3 linked regions of the Pelodiscus sinensis genome follow. The protein of the gene in region 2 binds, or shares a complex with, the protein of the main gene of each other region. Links are inferred from orthologs where the notes say so. Each region holds a gene or a part of one and is shown on either strand. Other genes may lie near its edges. The genes, in order: ZBP1, RIPK3 and caspase-8.

Region 1 (7,459 bases), on a different chromosome or scaffold from region 2:
AAGTTGCAGCCCTCGTCATGTGCTAAGAGTATCATTGTGCCCCCAGGGCTTCCGAAGTTGAGTAGCCCTGCTCTAAGGTGTACGCCTCAGACCTGATTAGTGCATCCTGGTCCTGGACCCTGGAGAGAGACTGTGGAAAGTGATGTGGGAGAAGAAGCAGGGGGTAGGTGGGAGGAAATAGGAAATGGGTGGAGGTAGGTGCTGGAAAGAGGGGCGGAGGGGTGGGGGACTAAGTTTGGAACATCCCTGGATTCCCAGCCCCAGCTGGGTTGCATGTGGCAGCCTGGGAGAGATGTGACTTTCTCCAGGTGCCTCTCTGCAGCGTGCGCTGAACTGCCACAGCAGGGAGATAGGAGGGGAGAGCGTCTGATTCTTGGTCTCTCCAGTTCCAGCTGGGCTGTAGGGAGCAACACTTTAGCCAACTCACCGAGTATCCGCTGTCCCAAGAAGTCCAACACCGAGAGTCGGGCCCCACAAAAATCATGACACTGATGGAAAAATAAAGTTTTTTTATATTAACCATTTGGGGCTGCTTTTTTATTTGTGAGCCTTTACGGTACATTTGCTCCAGGGCCCCAAGATTGCATCATGAGAGTTAGAATTGTCCAGTCTTTTTAAAATGAAAGCCAACACTCTCTTGACTTCAGCAGTTCAGGCTTTAAAAAAAACACCAGGTATTGTGGGAATGGCAGGCAAAGCGTGGGAGGCGATGGCACTGATCGGTATTGGTTGTGTTTAAATAAAATACCTCTCATTCAACGTTCCTTCTAACCTTTTCTGTCCCTGTGTGGATTTTTTCCATCCATGTGTGGAATATTTTATGTGCACCAAAGCATGTGTGAATGTGCACCCTCAGTAGAAACACAAATCTAGCTGTGAGCACTCTACTAATCAGCTAGGCAGCATTTGAGTCTCTCCTGAGTGGCCACACAAGCACACAGCTTACAGGGAACGCTGCTCTCATTGGTTTACTCTGAAACAAAGTGTGGCTCAGAAGAGTTCACTTTTCTCTCCCTCCATCTCTGGTCACTGCTTTTCCCCAGCATCTCTCTCCCTCTCTTTTCAGCCTTGGCCCCTCGCCTGCTGCCAGTCAGTTCAGGCACAGCATCTCTTGCCCCTCCAGTGCCAGCACAGACCTGTCAATGTTAGAAGGCTATAAAGAGAGATTTGCACAGGAAAAAGGATCTTATAACTCCATCGAAACCACAGCTGTAGTGCAGGCAGCTAGTGTTACTGAGGCCCAAATGTGGGAGGAATCCTGGAGTGGCTCCAGATTAGGGCCACAAGGGGAAAAAAAGGGGGCAGGACACTTTACATTATATGAATTAACTCAAACTTCCAGGCCAATTGCATGGTGCATTTCAGGGACCTGAGTTTCTGCAACATAATCTGTGGTGGGGGCGGGGGAGATGAGAGAATGCAACATGTGAAAGATGTTAAGCACAACACATCATGTGCTACCGGAAAGTGATCAAATACTTCAGTAATGAACACATTATTAGGGCCTATATAGAATAAAATAGAACATGGTGCTAATTATTTTAACATCAAGAGCAGTGAGTGGGATTTTTCAAAGAGGTTTTCATGCTTGTTTCCCATTAAACCCAATAGGAATTAGTCATCCAAAGCTCTTTAGCAGCTTGGGAAGTCTCATCCAATAGCTAAAGTCTGCTTCATGATCCCACATCTCCTCTGCAGATGGTCTGCAATGATAAAAGCTAGAACTTCAAAGCTCATAGGGGAGAAGGGGAAAGGTAAATTTGGGGCTAACTCCTCTCTAAGGAGAAACAGCAGAGAACAATGCCAATGTGTCCTTAGTTGTATCTATTTGTGTATTGCCCTCTGCTGGAGGAGGCCCCAAGACAATGTGTTTCATTGGAAAGCCCCCTGTAGTATTTCAAAGTGATGGCATGTAAACCATGGATATAGCAGTTCTAGTCCACCACTGAAATCAAAGGTGTTCTGCCAGTGTAAAGCTGGAGTGATTCCACAGTGAAGCACAATCAGTTCTCATGGCTTACAATCACCTTAGACAGATTTTCACTGTGGCTACGTCTACATTGTCCCCTATTACGGAATAGGCATGCAAATGTAGCACTTTGGAAGAGGCAAATCCGCGGGGGATTTAAATATCCCCCGCGGCATTTGCATTTTCATGGCCGCCACTTTTTTCCGGCTTGGAGATAAGCCGGAGAAAAGCGTCCAGACTGGCGCGATCCTCCAGAATAAAGCCCTATTCCGGAGGATCTCTTATTCCTTGCAAGTAGGAATAAGAGATCCTCCGGAATAGGGCTTTATTCTGGAGGATCGGGCCAGTCTGGACGCTTTTCTCCGGCTTATCTCCAAGCCGGAAAAAAGCGGCAGCCATGAAAATGCAAATGCCGCGGGGGATATTTAAATCCCCCGCGGATTTGCCTCTTCCAAAGTGCTACATTTGCATGCCTATTCCGTAATAGGGGACAATGTAGACGTAGCCTGTGTGTAACATGCGTACTAGAGAGATATCTCTTTAAGAAATCTATTGGTGCGGGTGGGGAAGGCGGCCCTAGACTAGCTGCCAGCAACTGGCACCCTAGGTGAACCATGCAATCAGCGCCCCCACCTCCAAATTATATTGCACCCCCATTTGGCGCTCCATGTAATTTGGCGCCCTAGGCGCCTATGTGGATGGGCCACCCCTGGGTGGGAGTGGGAATGACTTGTGTCTGAGTCAGTGTTGATAGAGGAACACACAATTAATTCTCCATAGTCAGAAGTTTCTGGGATTTGATGTGGTAGTTTTGGATATGCTCAGTAGGTTCCCTGTTGCTACACTCACAGGACACCAGACAGCTTGCAAAAGGCCATGACTTGGGTGCTGAATGGGTTGGGAGATACCTTGCCCAGCGGCAGGAAGCAGGTGTTTTCCCTAAATCAGATGCCTTTTGCGGCAGGTTAGTGATACTGTTCACCCTCCAACAGGGTGGTTCTGTCAGTGCTGATGACAGACAGGGGAAACTGGGAGGGAAATATACTTTGAATGTTTGTTTTAGTTAAATGTCTCAGCTAATATGATTCACCAATGTTACTCTTATCTAAATATGATGAGTGGGAAGCCACATTTCTTTTGCTAGTCTAGTTTTGTATTTGTTTTAACTCTATATGCTTAACTAAGCAGTTGGTTATTTGATTAGCTGAGTAGTTTCAGCAGAGGAGGAAAACTCTGCATGAATTCCAGCTGAACATTTCTACAGGCAAGTGGAGGGAAGTTGTTGCTTTTGACTCAGCTTACCATGTAGATCTGGTGATCAAAGACTCTGAGGCCCCTTCTTGTGCAAGAAAACCTCTCTTGCGCAATGCTGTTACTGTGTAGGCAGCTCCTTCTGGTGCAAGAGCCTCTTCTGCAAAAATGGCAGCTCATTAGGTATGCAAATGAGGTGAACGATATTCCACGCTTAGCCTCATTTGCATATTTCTGGCGCAAGAAGCCGCGAGTGTAGACATAGCCTGAGACTCGGGTGAATTCAGTCTAAGCTTTTGGGAGTGCCTTTTCACTGTGTTTCTGTGGGGACTGACCTGTTTAGATTCAATTTGTTTTCTTCATGTTCATGTATAACTGTAGAGCTCATGTACATGGCTTACATGATAGCCCTGTTATGTTCAAAATATTTTTATTTAAATTTCTTTATCATAAGATTTCATAAAGTTGGCATTGAAGAACTAAATTAATTCCTTTTATTCTTTTGGATTTGACTATGAAAATCTCAGGGTATATCTAGACTACAAGCCTTTTTCAAAAGAATCTTTAGAAAAAGCCTTTTTCGAAAGAGAGCATCTACACTGCAACCACTTACTTTGAAAAAGCAAAATAAGTCTGGATGCTCTCTTTTGAAAAAGCCCTGTTTGCATTCAATAGCGCCTTTTTTGAAAGAGCACTTTAGAAAAAAGGTGTTGTTCCTAGTAAAATGAGGTTTTCCACGGTTGAAAAAACGGCTGCGTTCTTTTGAGTTAATTTCTAGATGCAGCTGAAGTTTTTTTGAAAAAAGGTCACTTTTTTCAAAAAAACCCTGTAGTCTAGATACACCCTCACTGAAAATCTTCAGTGAATGAACTCTGGTTCTATAGTTGCTTTCCTTAGGATGCTGGATTTTGTAGGCACTGGAGAACGGCAATGAAGAAAACCCTAGCCCACCCAAAGATTACATGTTAACATGCAGCTATGATAATATTGAGCAAAGAAAACAAATTAAAATATTTAAAAACAAACAAATATTTAAAAATAAGGACATGCTGCTGCTTCTTTCCCTGGTCTGGGTTTTTTATTATTATTATTATTTGAAAGCTGTCATTTTCATGTCTGCCAATGATTTGGGTTGGTTTTGTTTCAGAGAAAAATGCAAGTTTCGTTTTCTATTTACAGATTTACAACATTGTTTGTACGATGCTACTCACTCCTGGCTCCACCCACAACTGATCACAAGAATGATTCAGCTCTAGGAGTCACAGCATAACCAGACCACAACATTCAAAAAATCAGGAATTATACCCCCAAAATCATGAGATTATCTTAATAAGTATCTGGATTCTTAAATAATACAGATGCAGTTATTTTTATTTGCCTTCTGGTCTTGGAGTCTTTCCAAGCTTTTCGTTTTGTAATCATGAGGGTGAGAAACTTGCTTCTTTCTTTTAAATGAAGACTGAGATATCTTGACTTTGGAAGCTGGCACTTTAAGAAAAAAACAAAAAATATCACAACATTTCCCAATGCAAATTCAGACTTGTCAACACTGGATTCAGCAGAGCAAATTCCTTATTCAGAACTCTTCCCAGGGCTAGATTGTTGCATGCATTATTTGCAATTACTTACCACAGTCCTTTATCAATTATTTTCATGACTAGCTGCTAAAACTGTGCACACAATTGCTGTACCTGAATGCATACCATGGCATGAATAGATGGGCCTCTGTTGAGAATTTTGACATGACCAAGAGCTTTCAGGTGGAAGCAAAACAAAGAAGAGTGATCTCTGCTTAAAGAAACTTAAAGAAAAGCTGTTTACGATGGATTTTAACGTAGCAGAGTGCACACACAGTAAGTTGTCCTTTATGGAAGTATGAAAATATAGATCCACTCTGTTCCCTGAAGCTCAGACAGATTTCAAAGAAGGATCTTCCAGATCAGCTAGTATGAGAGATGTGCCTAAATGGATGGCATCTGAGCCAAGGACACTCATGTAAGAGAATGGAGCACACAAAGGTAAACTCTAGGAATGGAATATCTATTCATCTCTCCTGTTTTTTTCTATTAATATCCTCCCTGCTTCTATCAGGAAGTTCCCTTCTCTTGCTTACTGATGTATATTAAAATGGCCACAGACTGTCTGAGTCATGTGTAACACTTTATCCGCAGACAGACATTTTTACAGAGGACTTTGTCTTGTCAAACTTCAGTTTCGGTTTCTGGGATGATACGTAAGTTGCAATTTCCATTTCCAGCTTCACCGCACGGTATCAGTTTTTGTTTTGTTTCTTTTAGAAACCCAACCCCAAGTTACTCTTTTCTTTCTGTTCTGACTGGATGTTTGGTTCTGATTAATACATGCTCATATGCCGGAGTCAGTTGTTTTGTGACGAATTCTGTAATTGACTTTCAGTCTGCTTTAGGATTTGGACAAATGGCAAAAGCAACACATAGTGCAGGTAAGATTCGCTTTTAAAGATATTCTAAGTTTTTAATGAAAAATTGCCTGACTTTTCTGGCTGCTCATTTATACTCCTGACTCTGTCTGTTACTTTTGATGTTTAGCACATAGATGAGACTGATTTGATACGAGTGGCATTGTGTATCCTAGGAAGGTAGAGGAAGGGGGGCTTCAGAAGCTAAATTATAGGTTCTGTCTTTGTCATCATATGTCTGCCTTAGGAGAGCGATTGGAAATGTCTCCTGCTTACTAGAGAACACCGTGAATAAAGCTGGCCAGAAAATGGAGTCTATGAAAAAAGATTAATTTTTCAGCAGAAAATGTTGAAAGTCAAAACCAATTTGGTTTTCACCAACTAAATCATATATTTCCAGCCAAAAACTGTCCGATTTCACCCTCTCCTCCTGACCCCAAAAATGAAATCAGAAAACTTTCTGTTTAATGGGCATTTTTTGAAAAACTGAATATTACCAATGACAGCAGAGACTTTCAGAAAAAAAAATCATTTAGCCAAGCCCCCAGTTTTCCACAGGAAAACAAGTTTTCATGGGGCATTTTTGATTAGCCCTTGCAATGAGAATTGGGGGACAAAGGGGTTTCTCTATCAACTCCCACCAAAGCTGGCAGGTGGAAGGTTCAAGTCATCAAGCAGTTATGAAGACATCTGACAGGCAGGGATTGAAGGATTAAAATGGGACTAATCTGGGTCCATTGGCTATTTTCAGATTCACACAAACCCCAAGCTGGAAGACTGTGAACCCATGACACTGGCATCCACATGGTTAGTTAGGTATAATCCACCCATGGGATGCATAGCCTTAGCTAGAGGGTGTCCCGCTCCAAGAGCTACCCACAGTACACTGCCTGAGGCCTGGGGCAGCTGTGCTGTTGGTGTAAACTTGTCCAGCAAGCTCGCTGTGTTGGCTGAGCTCCTAACTATAGACGGACAAAATAATAATTAAAGAAAACAATTAAATGGCCACCAAAACCAATTGGTTTGGTGAGAGCCCCCACAGCTGGCACAGCAAAAGCACTGGGAAGAGACCAACTTGTGGGGCCAGGCTGCACTTGCTCTGGCCAGAGAAGAGGTGGGAGAGGGAGCTTGACTCTAGTAATTCATACTTTGTCAAACCTTGGAAACATGCAGCACTGCTCCACTCGGGGGCCCAATCCCGGGCATGCTGCGCTCCCCCTGAGCAGAATGGGATGGGAGGTGCTCACTTGGGCTCAGCACCTTTCAGGATTAGAAGCCAGCTTTGCCATGTCCAAGGTGTACTTGGACCCCATTATGTGGTTATAAGACCCATGTAGACGGGGCCTTATTTTCAGCAAGGTAAGAAAAATTCAGTCCTTTCTCTACTCTTTCTTTCCATCTTGGCTGGAAATAGTTACCATCTTTCCAATCACAGAATGTGTTTACCCTCATCTCTTCTTGCCAGTCTCAGAGGGGTAGCCGTGTTAGTCTGTAACCAAAAAAACGTTTAAAACAACCAATAGTTCTGCAGCACCTAAGTCTGTCTACACAGCAGCGTTATTTCAGAATAACTGACATTATTGTGGAATAACACAGAGCGCATCTACACAGCAAGCCATTATTTTGAAATAATGTCAAGCTGCAGGACTTCTTACTCTGATTCGTGTAACCCTCATTTTATGAGAAGTAAGGAACGTTGAAGGAAGAGTGTTCTTCCTTCGACTTCCTGCTGTGTAGACAGCTTAATTCGGCTTTCGGCGCCATTTCGACTTCAGCTACGCAATTGATGTAGCTGAAGTTGC
Region 2 (7,696 bases):
CCTCTTGCGCAACGCCGTTACACCTGAAAAGTCTGAAAAAAATGGTGGCTCATTAGGTATGCAAATGAGGCTCGGCGATATTCCACGCTTCGCCTCATTTGCATATTACTCGCGTAAGAAGCCGTGCGCGTGTAGACATCGCCTTACTGTAGTGTGCGGATACGCCCCCTTGTGGAGAATTAGAGACATCACAGTCATGCACGGGTCTGCCCCCTTGTGGTGAGTAAGAGACATCACAGTCATGCACAGATACGCCCCCTTGTGGTCAGCCAGGGTATTATTTTCTGCCGAGGTCCGGCTGGCGCAGGGGAGAGAAATTGGAATTTGTCCGGGGTTTAAGGAAATTACCCGCCATCCCATTTGATTTCCAGTGCCTACACACTACTGAGATCCGGGCCATGTTCCCAATGGCCTCGCTCCACTGAGATGTCCCTACTCATTATTTTCAGAGGTTCTGGGATTTGAACTCCCAGCGGTGGGAAGGGACTTCCAAGCTGGGATATTACGGCCTCTTCCCAACCCAGTTTTTTGACAGCACCTGGAAGAGGCCGCCCCAGCCACAAGCGAAAACAATGCAATCCTGCTTCCTGGCTGGGGAAACTGAGGCAAGAGAGGGCTGAAGTATTTTGCCCCAGTCTGCAGGGATTTGTTGTGGATAAAACCAGCCCCCCAGGTCTTCCTAGGCCCCCTTGCTCCATGTAACTCCCCATCCCATGGTCTGTGTCTCTAGCCAGCTGCCTGCCCTCTCCCACCCGCCTCTCTGTCTCCCCACAATCAGGGCTCGTAAGGACGCTGGGTTTGTTCCTGTCGCAGCTCACAGGGCTCTAAGCAGAGGGACTGAGAACTGGGCCTGTGAGAGCCATGGGCCCCATACTGCTGGGGTCACAGGGATTCCCTGTCCACCAGAGGCCCAGTGTGTTTGGATTCTGGTGACCCCTCCAACCCAGGCCAAGCCTGGTCCCCCCCTGGGCGGGGTGACACTCACGTGGGTAGGGCTGCTCGCCAGTTAGCACAGACCAGGTGAGGATGGCGTAACTGCAGGGGCAAGAGAGGAGGCTGGTTGGGAGCTGGGGACGGGAGAGGGGCCCCATGCCAACATGCCACTGTGGGTCCCAGGGGTCAGGACTAGCACCCCCTAGTGGGCCCCCTACTTCACTCCCTGTAGTACAGCACCCCCTAGTGCCTCTGTGGGTTCCAGGGGTCAGGACTAGCACCCCCTAGTGGGCCCCCTGCCCCACTCCCTGTACTACAGCATCCCCTAGTGCCACTGTGGGTCACAGGGATTGTGACTAGCACCCCCTAGTGGGCCCTCTGCCCCGCAGTACAGTGCTCCCTAGTGCCTCTGTGGGGCCCAGGGGTTGTGACTAGCACCCCCTAGTGGGCTCCCTGCCCTGCTCCCTGCAGTACAGCGCCCCCTAGTGCCTCTGTGGGGCCCAGGGGTTGTGACTAGCACCCCCTAGTGGGCTCCCTGCCCTGCTCCCTGCAGTACAGCGCCCCCTAGTGCCTCTGTGGGTCCCAGGGGTTGTGACTAGCACCCCCTAGTGGGCTCCCTGCCCTGCTCCCTGCACTACAGTGCCCCCTAGTGCCTGGCGGGTGGAGTCGGGGTTCTTTGACCTGTAGACGTCGGTGGCGGGTGTGGGCCGGTAGTTGAGACTGACGAAGGATTCGGGGGGCATGTACTCCAGGGTGCCCCCGTAGTCGTCGTCCTCCTCCGACTGCTCAGCCCTCTGCTTGGTGGTCCCCCGCTTGAACTTGGACAACCCAAAGTCCGCCAGCTGGGAGGGGGGCAGAGCAATGGGGGGTGTCAGGCAACGGGCCCCCTCTAGGGGGCGCCGACCCAGCCGGCCGGCAGGGGAGAGGCTCACTCACCCGGACGTCCAGCTCCGGGTTGAGCAAGACGTTGCTGGGCTTGAGGTCCAGGTGCAGCAGGGGTGGGCGGAGCCCGTGGAGGTAGTTCATGCCCAGCGCCACCTGGTGGAGCAGGCGGAAGCGCAGGGCCCAGGGCACTGGCCGGACCCTCTCCAGCAGGCTGGCCAGACTCCCGCACTCCATGTACTCCATGACAATGCCCAGCCGGGGGCCACCGGCCCAGCCCTCCTCCTCCTCCTCGTAGAGGCCGAAGAGCCGCAGGATGTAGATGAAACGCGCCTTGTCCATGGCCCGGGCCTCGGCCAGCAGCTCCTCCCAGCTGCAGGTGTCACTGTGGGCAGGGGAGAGGAACCAGGGATGGGGGAAACTGAGGCGGGAGGGGATGAGAAGACAGAAACAGCCCTGGGGATGGGAGTGGACGAGAAGCTGGACAGACGCCAACCAGGCGCCCTTGCAGCCAAGACGGCGAATGGCCTATTGGGGGGCATTAGGAGGAGCATGGCCAGCAGATCCAGAGGTGTCATTATTCCCCTTCATTCGGCGCTGGGGAGGCCACATCTGGAGTGTTGTGTCCAGTTCTGGGCCCCCCACTATAGAAAGGACGTGGGCGCATTGGAGAGGGGCCAGCGGAGGCGACCAGAATGATTTTGGGGGCTGGAGCACCTGGCCTACGAGGAGGGGCTGAGGGATTGGGGCTTGTTCAGTCTGCAGAAGGGCAGAGCGAGGGGGGATTTGGGAGCAGCCTGCAACTCCCTGCAGGGGGGCTCCCAAGAGGCTGGCGAGAGGCTGTTCTCAGTGGGGCAGGTGGCAGAACAAGGAGCAATGGGCTCCACTCGCAGTGGGGGAGGTCTAGGTTGGAGATTAGGACAAACGATTTCCCGAGGCGGGTGGGGAAGCGCTGGGCTGGGTTCCCGAGGGAGGGGGGTTTGACCAAGGCCTGGCTGGGATGACTGAGTGGGGGTGGGTCCTGCTTTGGGCAGGGGGCTGGACTCGGTGCCTCCTGAGGTCTCTGCCAGCCCCGGGGTCCTAGGAAGGAAGCAGGAGAAGCAGGGACAAAGGAGGGGCAGAGACCACAGAGGGGAGAAGAAACTGAGGGCTGTGGAGGGAGAGAGAAAGTAGAAGGGAGAAGAAAGTTCGGAGCTGGTGGGAAGGAGGGAGGGGAAGGGGGAGGGAGCAGAGAGGGAAGGGGAGGAGGAAGGGGAAGGGGAGAAAGAGGAGGGGAGCAGAGAGGGAAGGAGGGAAAGGGGAAGGGAGGGGAGCAGAGAAGGAACAGGGGAAGGAGGGAAGGCGATGAGGGCAGAAGGAAAAGGGGGAGGGACAAGGCGGCCGAGGGGGACATGCCCGGTGGGGGGGGGCAGCCCCGGGGGAAGGGAAGGCCGGGGGGGAGGCAGACACGGGGGGAGGGAAGGCCGGGGGGGGGCAGACACAGGGGGAGGGAAGGCGGGGGGGGGCAGCCCCGGGGGGGGGGGAGGGAAGGCGGGGGGGGTAGCCCCGGGGGGGAGGGAAGGCGGGGGGGGGTAGCCCCGGGGGGGCCGGCGAGGGGGAGCGGCGAGAGGGGGGCAGCCTCGGGGGGGGAGGGAAGGCGGGGGGGGCAGCCTCGGGGGGGGAGGAAGGCGGGGGGGGGCAGCCGCGGGGGGGGAGGGAAGGCGGGGGGGGGCAGCCGCGGGGGGGGAGGGAAGGCGGGGGGGGGGCAGCCGCGGGGGGGGAGGGAAGGCCGGGGGGGGCAGCCCCGGGGGGGGGAGGGAAGGCGGGGGGGTTGATGCCCCGGGGGGGCGGCGGGGGGAGCGGCGAGGGGGGCAGCCCCGGGGGGGGAGGGAAGGCGGGGGGGGGGCAGCCCCGGGGGGGCCGGCGGGGGGGAGCCCCAGGCCCGCACTTACCGGCTCAGTTTTCTTGACGGCGATGGGGATGCGCCAGTCGCGGTGCCGGGCCGGTAGATGACGCCGAAGCCGCCCGAGGCGATGAACTCCCAGTCCTCCAGGCTCTCCCGCGGGACCCGCTCCCGGAACGCCTCGCCCGCCGCCATCCCTGCCCGGGACAGGAGGGGCCCTCAGCCCGGTCCCCCCGGCCGCGCCCCTCACCGCGGCCCCGCGCCCGGCCCCGGCCCGCACCGAAACTTGTGACTCCAGCCCGCCCGCCGCGTCAGCTCCGCGCCGGCCTCGCTCTTCCTGCCCCGCGGGCCCCGACTCACTTCCCCCTGCGCCGCGGGCCCGCCCGCCGGGACTTCCCGGGCGCGCAGCGAGGCGAGGCGAGGGGCCGGGGCAGGCTCGGAGAGCGGCGGCGGGGGAGCCGGGCCGGGGGGAAGGGGGCGAGGGGGAGAGAAGAAAGGAGGAAAAGGTGCGTGTGTGAGCAGAAAGAAAGTCAGACAGACCCACAGACAGACCGACCGACCCTCAGATAGACCGACCGACCCACCCTCAGACAGACCGACCGACCGACCCACAGACAGACCGACCGACCCTCAGACACAGACAGACCGACCACCCTCAGACACAGACAGACCGACCCACCCTCAGACAGACAGACCAACCCACAGACAGACCGACAGACCGACCCTCAGACAGACCGACCAACCCTCAGACAGACCGACCCTCAGACAGACCGACAGACCCACAGACCGACCCTCAGACAGACCGACCCTCTGACAGACAGACCGACAGACCCTCAGACAGACCAACCCTCTGACAGACAGACGACCGACCTCAGACAGGACCAACCCTCTGACAGACAGACCGACTGACCCTCAGACAGACCGACAGACCCTCAGACAGACCAACCCTCTGACAGACAGACCGACCGACCCTCAGACAGACAGACCGACCCTCAGACAGACCGACCCTCTGACAGACAGACCGACTGACCCTCAGAACAGACAGACCGACCCTCAGACAGACCGACCCTCTGACAGACAGACCGACTGACCCTCAGACAGACAGACCGACCCTCAGACAGACCGACCTCTGACAGACAGACCGACTGACCCTCAGACAGACCGACAGACCTCAGACAGACCGACCCTCTGACAGACAGACCGACTGACCCTCAGACAGACCGACAGACCCTCAGACAGACCGACCCTCTGACAGACAGACCGACTGACCCTCAGACAGACCGACAAGACCCTCAGACAGACCGACCCTCTGACAGACAGACCCGACTGACCCTCAGACAGACCAACCCTCTGACAGACAGACCGACCCTCAGACAGACAGACAGACCCTCTGACAGACAGACCGACCGACCCTCAGACAGACAGACAGACCCTCAGACAGACAGACCGACCAACCCTCAGACACAGACAGACAGACAAACCCTCTGACAGACAGACAGACCGACCCTCAGACAGACAGACAGACCCTCAGACAGACCGACCCACCCTCAGACACAGACAGACAGACCGACCCTCAGACAGACAGACAGCTGCTCCGGGCTAGGAGGCCGCGCGGTACACAGCTCTCTACGGGCACCAGAGAGGCATTTCCTCAACCCCGTACCCTCAGCCATCCTCCATCCCTTCCTTGCACCCCCCTGCACCGAGCCAGGTCACTCACGGGAAGCTTTATGCACAGCGCCGTGCCTCAGTTTACCCTGCTGGCCCCACTTTTGGACAACAGAAAGGTGCTTCCCCTCTCCCTGCAGGCACGGGGGCGCCCGTTTCGGGTTCTGAGGCCGGGCCGGAAGGGAGGAGTTTTAAGCGGAGTCTCACGAAACCCGCAGAAGGGTGCCAAGGTGGCGGGGCGGGGTGGAAGTGGCAGGCGATGTTCCTTGTGCCAACGGGCACACGCCTTTTCCGGGACAAAGGTTGCTCCTCCGGCGCAGAGCAAAGCAGCAGGCCGTGTGTGGCAGCGTGCCGGGGTCCCCCGATCCTGCCCCCCCGTAGCCGCGAGCAAAGACTCCGCCAGCCCGTCGAAGAAAGGGGTTTATTGCTTGTCCGGGACACAGCCCAGCACAGACGTGATGTGGGTACCGGAGTCAGGGCCGGGCTGCCTCCGACCCCTTGGGTTAGGGGGCCCGTCGCCCCCACTACCCTCAGCACCCGGCTTAGTCTGTTCCTTTCCTCGCTGCCTCGCTCCCAGGGCCGTGTCCGCCTCCCTGCCTTTCTCTGTGTCACGTTATTGGATTGTGAGGGGAGCAGCCGGATCACTGCTGCACCCATGGGGGGGTGTTCACCCCAAAAGTGGTGCAAAGGGGGCCATGGGAGGAGTCAAACAAAAGCTACTTTCTTCTGATTCTGTCTCTGCTCTTCACAGATCTGTGTAATGTCTGTGTGTGGAGGTAGGGATCTGTAATGTGTGGATACTGAATATCTCTCTGCATGTGGTTGAGCATTGGGCAGAGCCCAGCCTATAGACATGCTAATGAGCGAGGCCCTGTGGGACAATGGCACTCAATGGGCCAAGGACACACCTCAGGAATGGTGACACCTAAGAGCTGCCAGCAGGGGACACAGGGATAGGCCACTGGCCAGGTGACCTGCTGCAGCCAAGAAGAGACCAGGAAGGAGGGATAAATAGGCCATGTGGTCGACACCATCTTGGTCTTCAGCTCAGCACTTCATCCCAGAGGCAGCACTGCAGGGATCGAAGAGCCCAGAAGACCTGTGAACCCATCCTGATCGTAGGATGTGCAATAAGGACTTTTAACCAGCAGCTGCAACATCTCTGCTAGAGCCTGCATCGAGGACTGGGAGATTCGGTGCATGTAACGTACTATCCTTTAACAGCCTCACTCTCAGGCTTTTCTTTATTGTAGTAATAAACCTTTAGATATAGATTCTAAAGGATTGGCCCAGCGTGATTTGTGGGTAAGATCCAGAGGGTAAATTGACCAGGGATCTGTGGCTGGTTTCTTGGAACCGGACAGAACTTGTTCGGGGTAGGTGGGATTGGGTGCTAGGACCCCCCACCTGTGTATAGGCCCGGGGCCATCTGGGGCACGGATATTGCTGGGGTGTCGGAGGGGTTTTGCTCGTGAGGCTTCAGGCAGGCAGCTGAAGTGCTCTGTGGGACTGGTGTGTGGCCTGTGTGGAGAGGTCACCAGTCTGGGGGCTGTAGGGAGCCCCGGATTTGAGCAATTTGCCCTGAGCGGATGCCCTCAGCTGTGCTCAGACCGCCTGGTCCGTCACACTCTGTCGCCCCAGGATGAGCCTTGTTATCTGCTCAGGATAGGCCTCGGTGTCTGGGCAATGCACACGTGGGGGAGTCCTGGGAATCGCACAGCCCAGCGCAGGGGGACCCCAGGTTATGGAGCAGACAGCCCCCCACACACCATGCGGAACGGAGCCACTGACCCATCCCGAAAGGCGCGGGCAGGCCGGCGACGTCTGTCGTCAGAGGAATCGCCGCAGCCCGTCGTAACGCCACCAGCGGGCACGACCTCCCACCCGCGAGGTGACATCCAGGACCTCACGGGGGCTCGGGAAGGAGCCAAGAACCGACCGATTGGGCCGGGCGGGACGAACCAAAGCGAAACCCCAGACCCCACCCCGACGGCACCTCCCCATCGTCGACGAAAACCCGCCGATGCCAACACAACAGCCAAACCCTGATCACAAACTGGTTTGCTGTAAGAGTGGGGACGTCCGGGAGGATCAGCCAGACCGATCCAGCCCCCCCCCCCGCCCCCCACGGCTCCTCCGCCCGGGACCGGTGACTCCAACAGGGACGGTGTCTGTCCGTCTGTCCGTGCCAACACCAGCGTATCGCCCTTCCCCCCGGACTGATCCGCTTACAAGGGGCATAGGGGCAGCAGCGGGTGGGGTGGAGAAGGGGGGGTCTGTTCCTCCCTCTTCTTCCCCCCCCCACTGTCCTGTCCCCCCGCCGCTGTCAAT
Region 3 (7,808 bases), on a different chromosome or scaffold from region 2:
CCGGGCAGTGTTTTGATGGAAGGGCTGGAGTGTGAGGACAGGGTGGGGCGAAATGAGAAGTGACCCCCATTTAAAGCAAAAACCATGCTGGTCATGGTTAATGCACATGCCCACTGAGATGGAGGGCCACTCGTGGCCCACTCACCAGCCTTGGTTGCCTGTCGCTGCTCCATACTGTGCTGCCTTCCCAGACGTCTCCTATATAGTACTTCACAATGTTAAATGACCAGTGGTTTTGTTCTTCCAGTGGGAATTAGTGGAAGCCAGAGGAAGCAGGCAGTTCTTTTTAGTGAAGAGCAATGGCAAGAACCACCCTTCCCTAGGCTGCAGTCTATAGAAGAAGCCGCGCCAGTGTTGTGCTTTGGAAATGAAGGCAAATGGTGTCTGTGATCAGTCTTGTGTAGCATCATGGAGAGCAGCAGGAGGGTTGGATGATGTTCATTGGCGTCTCCATATTATCTAAATGCTCCTTCTAACCAGTATCAAGAAATGCAGCTTGATAGAAAAGCTTACACCGAGTGGCCTTTCTGAAATTCTTTTTTCTTCTGATATATGTTGAATGCAATGGTTACATCGTACCATAGGTGGTGGGTGAAACCCCAGCTGGGGAAGGCAAGTCCCCAGGCCTGCGCTTCAGCTCGAGTCCCCGTCCCTTCCACAATGCCCCCCACCACCATGGAACCAAGCTCGCTCTTGCTGTAGCAGCTGGTCCCCACCCCAGGCTAGTGGTTCCCAGCCTTGGGATGCCCCCAGGCCTCTGTGCCTCCCCCCTTCCACGGGTGGTGTGGCCCCAGCCTTCCTGGCTGGCAGGAGCACCAGTTGGCTGAGCAGCTGGGCAGCTCCAGCCTTCCCAGACGGTCGTAGAACCAGTCGACACCAGCCTTTCTGGCCCTGAAGCACCAGGGGGCTGGCCAGCCCTGCACCTCTCCCTCTCCAATCGCCAGCCCCAGCACCAGTCCAAGAGCAACCCACTGCTCACAGGTAGGAGGGGCCCTAGGGCGGAGCATGGGTGGGACCACCCCAGTTGTTTTGGGAAGGCAATGCGTTCCCTTGCCTTCCTTACCCACCGCCTAGCTAGGGTAAAGGAAAGCCATTGTCCTTGCTCCAGGGGATCATGTCACCCAAACCTGGACAACTTTCCTGACCAGCCTCACACGGCTACTCTGAAAGTCCTGTGTGTTTCCGTATCACTCTTGTTTCCCCTTGTAATTTGTTCAAGGCGTGTAGATCTGTTGACCATTCTGACAGAAGTCAATAAGAAAGTGGGAGAAAAAGTGTTTCTCGACAAAAAGCAGATGCCAGAAATAAAATCAACCCTGCGGAAGCAACTGATCTTCCAGGTGCCAACGCCAGACAAGAAGCGTCAGTGAGACACTAAACTAGGAGCCGCTTTCTGAGATGGATTCAACTTGCAGTTCCAAAAGACCAATGGACTGGATCTATTCAGTTAGGTCCCAGTCCTACAAGGTACCGAGGGCCTTCAACTCTTGGATCATTCGCCCTGACAGTGGTCCAAATCATGAAATGGCCTGACAGTGTCCAGCATCTATCTACTTCAGTAGGAGTTGAGCCTGCTCAGCCTTTTCTAGGATTGACTGCCTTGACCCTGATTTCACAGGAAGAAACACACAGGAAAATTATGACTCCAAACCAATGAGGAAATCGGCAGTTTCCATTTGTCAATGTTATTCATAGATAGTATGTCTGAAAGGGGCCATTGTGATTATTAGGGATCTTAGCTTTCTGTGAAAGGAAAAACCCCAAAATTCTTCAGTTTGTCCACAGTTGAAATGAAACGCTGAATTTTAGTTTCCCTAGCCACAATATATATAGGTATCAGTTGAATGCAATGTTTTATTGATATATTTACCATTTTTTAGCAAGTTCAAGCCTATCCATTTCACAAACACTATAATAAAATTAATAGAATTGCTATTTGTATGTTTTATGTATACCTAACAGTTGTATGTTTGTATTCTATATTTTCAGGAAATTGTGGGTTTTAAACGCATAAAAACACTCACGTGATAGTCATAGTACATTGTTTCTTTACAGTTGTTGATGGTCCTACTGTTTCAGCCTCTCTTGTGTTTTTTGTTTTTTGTTTTTTTAGTCTAGTTTGGCGCTTTCCATGTGTTCTACAAGTGTCTGCCTTCGAATGTAATCTATGACCTTACTGCATACAGTGCAGAACAGGTTGAACTAGTCTAGTGTAGCACACTCTAGTCCAGTAACATCTGTGGTTCAGCATGCTTTCTTTTGGCTGGATGTCCACTTATCATGGGTGTGTGTGGCCAAGTTTCCTGAGGTCTCATAAAGTTTGTTTACAGCCACCAGTCCAGTGTTCTGTTGTGCTGTTTAGCTCTAATTTACACCTAAATATCTTCTAAGAGGCCTGTAAGCAGTGGAAGTGTTGGTAATACTGATAGAAAATATTGATCTTGAATGGTTCAGCAAATTCTCTGGTTCAGCACCAGTGAGGTCCAGAAGATGCGAGACTAGAGAGGTTCTACCTGTATCATCAATGTGAAATTTCTCCTTGCCAAATTCATTGACTCTAGGGGTGGTTTTAAAGTTTTTGGTATCTTTTCATAACTTTGATTACTCATGTCTGGAGGTTGAAGTGAAATGTGAGAGACATTAAAACACAGAACCCTATACACTGTCGAGTAACTTCAGTACATTGGAAGTAGTTTATTGTAGTATGTTTAGCTATGTAAATTTAAAAATCAAGAGTGGGAGGCTGCACACAGTGAATAAGTGACACTGACACCTTCAGTAAGATTTAGTTAATAGTTAATATTTATATTTTTTTACACAATGTAAAAACTAGAGATTTTTTGTAAAAATGCAAATTCTGTGTTTTTTCTAAATGGATTACTAGGATCCCTGGTAATCATCTTGTCTGACCTCCTATACTGCAGACATAAGACTTTCCTGAATTTACTCCTTTTTGAACTAGAGCACAATTTCCAGAAAAACAGCCAGTCTTGGTTTACCAAAATCCATTTTTATTATCTCAGCCCATGCCCCTCCTAACTTTCCCACCCCCCAAAAACCCTAACTTCCTTGATTTGTATTCTGGATTTACAGATCTGATCCTGGGGAGGTTCTGCATGGACGGAGAAAGTTGAGCCTATAAATTGCCTAGAACATCAGGTCTATAGCATGGTTCTCAGGGGGAAAAGTCCCTTTATACAGAAATTAAATCAGCAAGCAGGAAACCACTATTTTAATCATGTTTTGCATTTGTACTTTTTAGAATGTGACTTAAGGAAATGTTGATTTCTCATTAATTTGTAACCTCAGAAGCATGCTGACTTGCAACTAAATTAATTTAGTGGAAAGGCTATATTTTGCTGGTGATTTTTGCTAACTACACTATATCTCTACATATTTCTTTAAGCAAAGCAACTATATAGATTAGCCCATTAGCATATACTTATTCAGCTTCTTTGTTTTGACATTTTTAATAGAAAATGGTGAAGGCTTTTCTGATATAGTAGATTAAATTTTTTGTGTGATCTTTGTCACACTCAAATAGGATGGAAATTCAAATTAAATTAAAATGCAGAAAAATAGCATTTTAATTGTTTTTATTAAATAAAATGATATTAAAAGTGCTGTATACATCAGAAGAAAGTTTATCAGAAAGTGTATCAAAACATTGAAAACTAACCAGTTTATTAAACAAAGGCAGTATTATCAGTGATTTGTGAATTTAACTGATTTGTTCCTGGTTACGTTGTCCTTCAAGAATTTAGAACTAGTAGATCTTACTCTCTTACACCTACTTTTTCCACATGGAGTGGCAGAGAAAAACAGTGTCCTTCATTTTTCCAACTCCCAATTGGGTTTTTAACTTTGAATGAGATAGTAAATGAACTGAACTAGATAACTATAATCTGAAATGAAGAAAATATTGTCTCCCCACCTATAGAAGATGCAATTGCTCTACATAATTTGTTTAACAGTAGACTTTAAAAAAATCAATTTGTATCCACCCGGACAGTGACAAAGAAACAGGCGGATGCTAAAAGACCTGTTCTGTAATTGGTGGTCTTTGAGATGCTGCTCATGTCCATTCCAAGTCAGGTGTGTGTGCACGCTACAAGCACCATGGTCCAGTATCCACAGGGGAGCAACTCTAGCAACTCTCAAAGCACAATATAAGGGATGCTTCACACTTTCATCACCCTCAGTTCCTGCCCACTGGAAACTCCAACAAGTGAGGAAGGAGGGTGGGTTGAGAAATAGACATCTCGAGGACCACCAGTTATGGAACAGATAACTGTTTTGTCTTCCAGTGCTTGCTCACAGCCATTCCAAACTGGGTGACTTCCAAGCAGTATTCATGGAAGCAGATAGGAGTTCAGGGATATGTCGCTTGTAGCACAGCACTGACAAAGCCAGTGTCCTCCCTAGTCTGTGTGGCTGTAGTGAGTCGTGAATGTGTGTATGGAAGATCACATTGCAGCTCTACAGATGTCCTGGACTGGGACGTGAGCAAGGAATGCAGCCGATAATGCCTGTGACCACCAGTGGCAGGACATGTGCCGGGTCATAATACGCTTTGATGCAGTAACACGCTTTGATCTTTGATTGGAGATCCTCTGTGTAGACACTGGAAGGCCCTTCATCCTGTCAGCAGTTGCCATGAAGAGCTGGGTTGATTTCCATGAAGGGCCTGGTGTGTGCCAGATAAAAAGTCAAGGCACACTTGACATCCAAAGCATGCAGCCTCCTCTCCTCATTATTGGCATGTGACTTAAGGTAAAACGCCGGGAGGAAAATATCCTGGTTAACATGGAAGGGCCATAGCACTTTCAGTAAAAAGACCATCTGGGGTCAGAGCCAGATAGAGGACTGAATATGGTTCTGATGTCAAGGCTTTTGACACTCATCTGGCCGATATCACCGCCATGAGGAAAGCGACCTTCCACGATAAATGAGCCAGGGAACACGAGCCCAATGGCTCAAAGGGTGGTCCTGTCAGCCTAGAGAGGACCCAACAGAGGTCCCATTTGGGAGGTGATTCTTGACAGAAGGGAAGAGCCTTTCAAGAACTGAGCCAACAGCTGGTGCCAAAACACAGATCTGTCCTGAATTGGAGGGTGGAATGCCAAGATGGCCACTATACGAACCTTAATACAGGACTGGGTCAGGCCCTGATTCTAGAATTTTATTTGTTCTGGAAAGTTCTAGAGCAAGGGTTGGCAATCTTTTCACGTCAAAGAGCCAAATTACATCAAAACTCAGAACAAAGAGCCGGCATAAGAGTGCCCAATTGCATGACTGAAAATATACAACTGAAAATGATTGATGATTGATGTGATGATTAATAATAGCACCAATGAAACATTGTACTCACAGGCTTTATTTAATGGACTTCTGCTGCTGCTGGGGGTTTGTGGACGTGGGGGTGCAGCAGTCAGGATTGGGCTGTATGAAGGGCTCAGGACAGGGGGATGGGATGTGTGGGAGGTGCAGGCAGCAGGGCAGGGTGCTGGGATGGGAAGCAGAGTATGCGGGGAGGTTCTGGGAATGGATTACTTTACCTAGCCGAGGCTGGGCTGCTGCAGTGGCTGGGATGAGGGGCCAGGCCAGGATCGCCACAGCCAGATTATGGCCTCCCCTCCTACCTGTGCCGCAGCAGGAGGGGAGCTGCCACCAGCCCTTCCTGCAGCCAGATGGGGACCATACAGTGGGGCTTGCCCCAGGATCGGTGCTAGGGACAGGACCCTGTGGACAGATGGGGGATTGGCTTCCGATTGGGGCCTAGTTGGCCAGGCTGCCGTAGCTGGAACCTAAACCGGGCCACCATGGCTGGGCTGTTGCAGCAGTCGCAGGTCCACCATGACTGAGCTGCGGGGTCCACCTCAGGAGCACTGCAGCTGGGGACAGACCGCGGCAGAAAGATGGGGGCTGGAGCCGAGCTGTGGCAGCCAGGTGGAGGTATCTGCTGCCGCCAGCCCCTCTCGCTATGCCAGCTGGGAGCGTGCACGTGTTCTTTCCAGCACATCCTCAGCTGGCCCTTTCAATGAGCAGAGTGCCCCCAGCCTGCCCATTTTATGTGTCTTTGAAATTGTGTATTAATTTTTCGTTTTAATTTAAAAAGTTCCATGTATTTTGGGAATGGCAAAAGAACAGGCCCTTTGGCCCATGGCCCACCCAGGTCATTATAAACCTTTCCGTGGACCACCAGGTCCTAATGGAAACTTGACGCTAATTATATAATTACACTCGAGCCATTTTGCTAATGGTGCAGCAAGGGAGAACAGTTTAATTTAGCCAGTAAGAAAGAAAATATTAGTTGAAATTATTGAACAGATTAAGCACTTCAGCTTTCTCATATTAGTTTAGCAAACTTTATTTTAAATGAAGTAAAAATGTTATGTCCAATACAAAAGGTTTCAACATTCTTTATTTATGGCAGGAGCGGGGAACCTTTTTCGGGGTGGGGGCCACTGACCCACAGAAAAATTAGGGACCACACAAATGAGCAGCAAAAAACCCCTCCAAAATCCCACAGCCCTCACTGATGTGGCCCCCCACTGAGACACCCCACTTCCCTGGCACTCCATCCCCATGGAGAGGAGGAAGAAATGAAGTTCAAGGCCTCAGGCCAGATTAACTCTCTTGGGCTTTGAGGGGCAGTGGATTTTGTGGACTTCCTTAGGCTCTGGTGTGGAGCCAAAAAGGAAGGGTTCAGTGTTTGGGACAGAGCGGCCAGTGAGTGGGGTAGGGATGGGGGTGCAGGATCTGGGTGGGAGATGGGGTGCAGGAGGGGATGAGGGTGGGAGGTAGAGTGCAGGAACAGGCTGACGGTGGGGTGTCTGACCAGGGGAAGGATGCAGGAGCAGTTTGGGTGTCTGGCCAGGGGGAGGGGTGCAGGAGTGGGCTGGGAGTGCAGGGTCTCAGTGGGCAGGGAGTTGGGGTGCCAAGTCTGGGCATGAGAGGAAGGGGGCATTCACTTGCTTTTGCGCCCCATGTTGCTCTCAGGCACCTCTTGCTGCTCTCATTGGCCAGTGGGAACAGCGGAGAAATCCTACAGGCAGCATGTCCATGTGCTGCTGTTCCTGCAGCCAAGGGAGGGGATGCAGCAGCGCGCAGAGCCACATCTGCCTCCACTTCTCCCCTGCGAGTTGGATCATGCAGCGAGGTTCGGGGCTTTCTCCCCTCTCTGCCCCCACAGGAAGCTAGCGCTAGCGCACCAATCTTGTGGAGGTGAGGGGGCTGCAAGGCTGAAGTGCTAGTATGGGCTCCTTGTAGTGGAGGGAATGAGGAGGGGGGCTGCGTTCCAGCTGCCAAAGAGCCATATTTGGTTCAGGAGCCATAGGTTGCTGACTCCTGTCTAAGACCTTGGGTTTGAGCCAAAGTCCAAGACGTTTGTGAGTAGACAGAAGGGAGAGTAGCACGTGAGTCTGAGGCCACATCTATACTTATGCTCCGGTGATAGATCTTCTGGTGTTTGATTTAGTGGGTCTAGTTAAGACCTGCTAAATTGAATGCTGAGCGCATCTCGGGTCAGCATTGGTACTCCTCCCAGTCACAAGGAATAAGGGAAGCGGATGGGAGTGTTTGCTCCCATTAACATCCACTGTGAAGATGGCAACAAGCTTGGTTTAAGATATGCTGACTCCAGCTACGTTAGTTACACACCTTGAGCCAATCTTTCGGGTTTAGTGTAGCACTGGCCTGAGTTTCAACCTGGGCTTGCACTGCAGTGTAGAATAAGTTATACCTATTTACACTACTGTCTGTCTGATAGACAGCAGTGTAGATAAGTATTGCCAATAATCATACTG

The links.
Region 1: RIPK3 (region 2) and ZBP1 share a complex: the UniProt entries of both Homo sapiens proteins name them as parts of the AIM2 PANoptosome complex. The link is inferred for Pelodiscus sinensis from reciprocal best matches to the Homo sapiens genes RIPK3 and ZBP1.
Region 3: RIPK3 (region 2) and caspase-8 share a complex: the UniProt entries of both Homo sapiens proteins name them as parts of the AIM2 PANoptosome complex. The link is inferred for Pelodiscus sinensis from reciprocal best matches to the Homo sapiens genes RIPK3 and CASP8.

What each region holds. Positions count from the first base shown.
Region 1 is NC_134728.1:13,959,112-13,966,570, forward strand, and holds the start of ZBP1 (Z-DNA-binding protein 1), read left to right. Parts: upstream 1-4,383; 5' UTR 4,384-5,175; coding exon 5,176-5,238; intron 5,239-5,290; exon of another isoform or gene 5,291-5,446; coding exon of another isoform or gene 5,447-5,453; intron 5,454-5,517; exon of another isoform or gene 5,518-5,635; coding exon 5,636-5,681; intron 5,682-7,459.
Region 2 is NC_134740.1:1,554,558-1,562,253, forward strand, and holds the start of RIPK3 (receptor-interacting serine/threonine-protein kinase 3), read right to left. Parts: upstream 3,032-7,696; 5' UTR 2,158-3,031; coding exon 1,870-2,157; intron 1,776-1,869; coding exon 1,615-1,775; intron 1,036-1,614; coding exon 986-1,035; intron 1-985. UniProt on the Homo sapiens protein: Serine/threonine-protein kinase that activates necroptosis and apoptosis, two parallel forms of cell death. Necroptosis, a programmed cell death process in response to death-inducing TNF-alpha family members, is triggered by RIPK3 following activation by ZBP1.
Region 3 is NC_134717.1:56,935,822-56,943,629, forward strand, and holds the start of caspase-8, read left to right. Parts: upstream 1-4,755; 5' UTR 4,756-4,773; intron 4,774-7,808. Other genes in the region: caspase-8-like, read left to right, coding at 1,220-1,370. UniProt on the Homo sapiens protein: Thiol protease that plays a key role in programmed cell death by acting as a molecular switch for apoptosis, necroptosis and pyroptosis, and is required to prevent tissue damage during embryonic development and adulthood.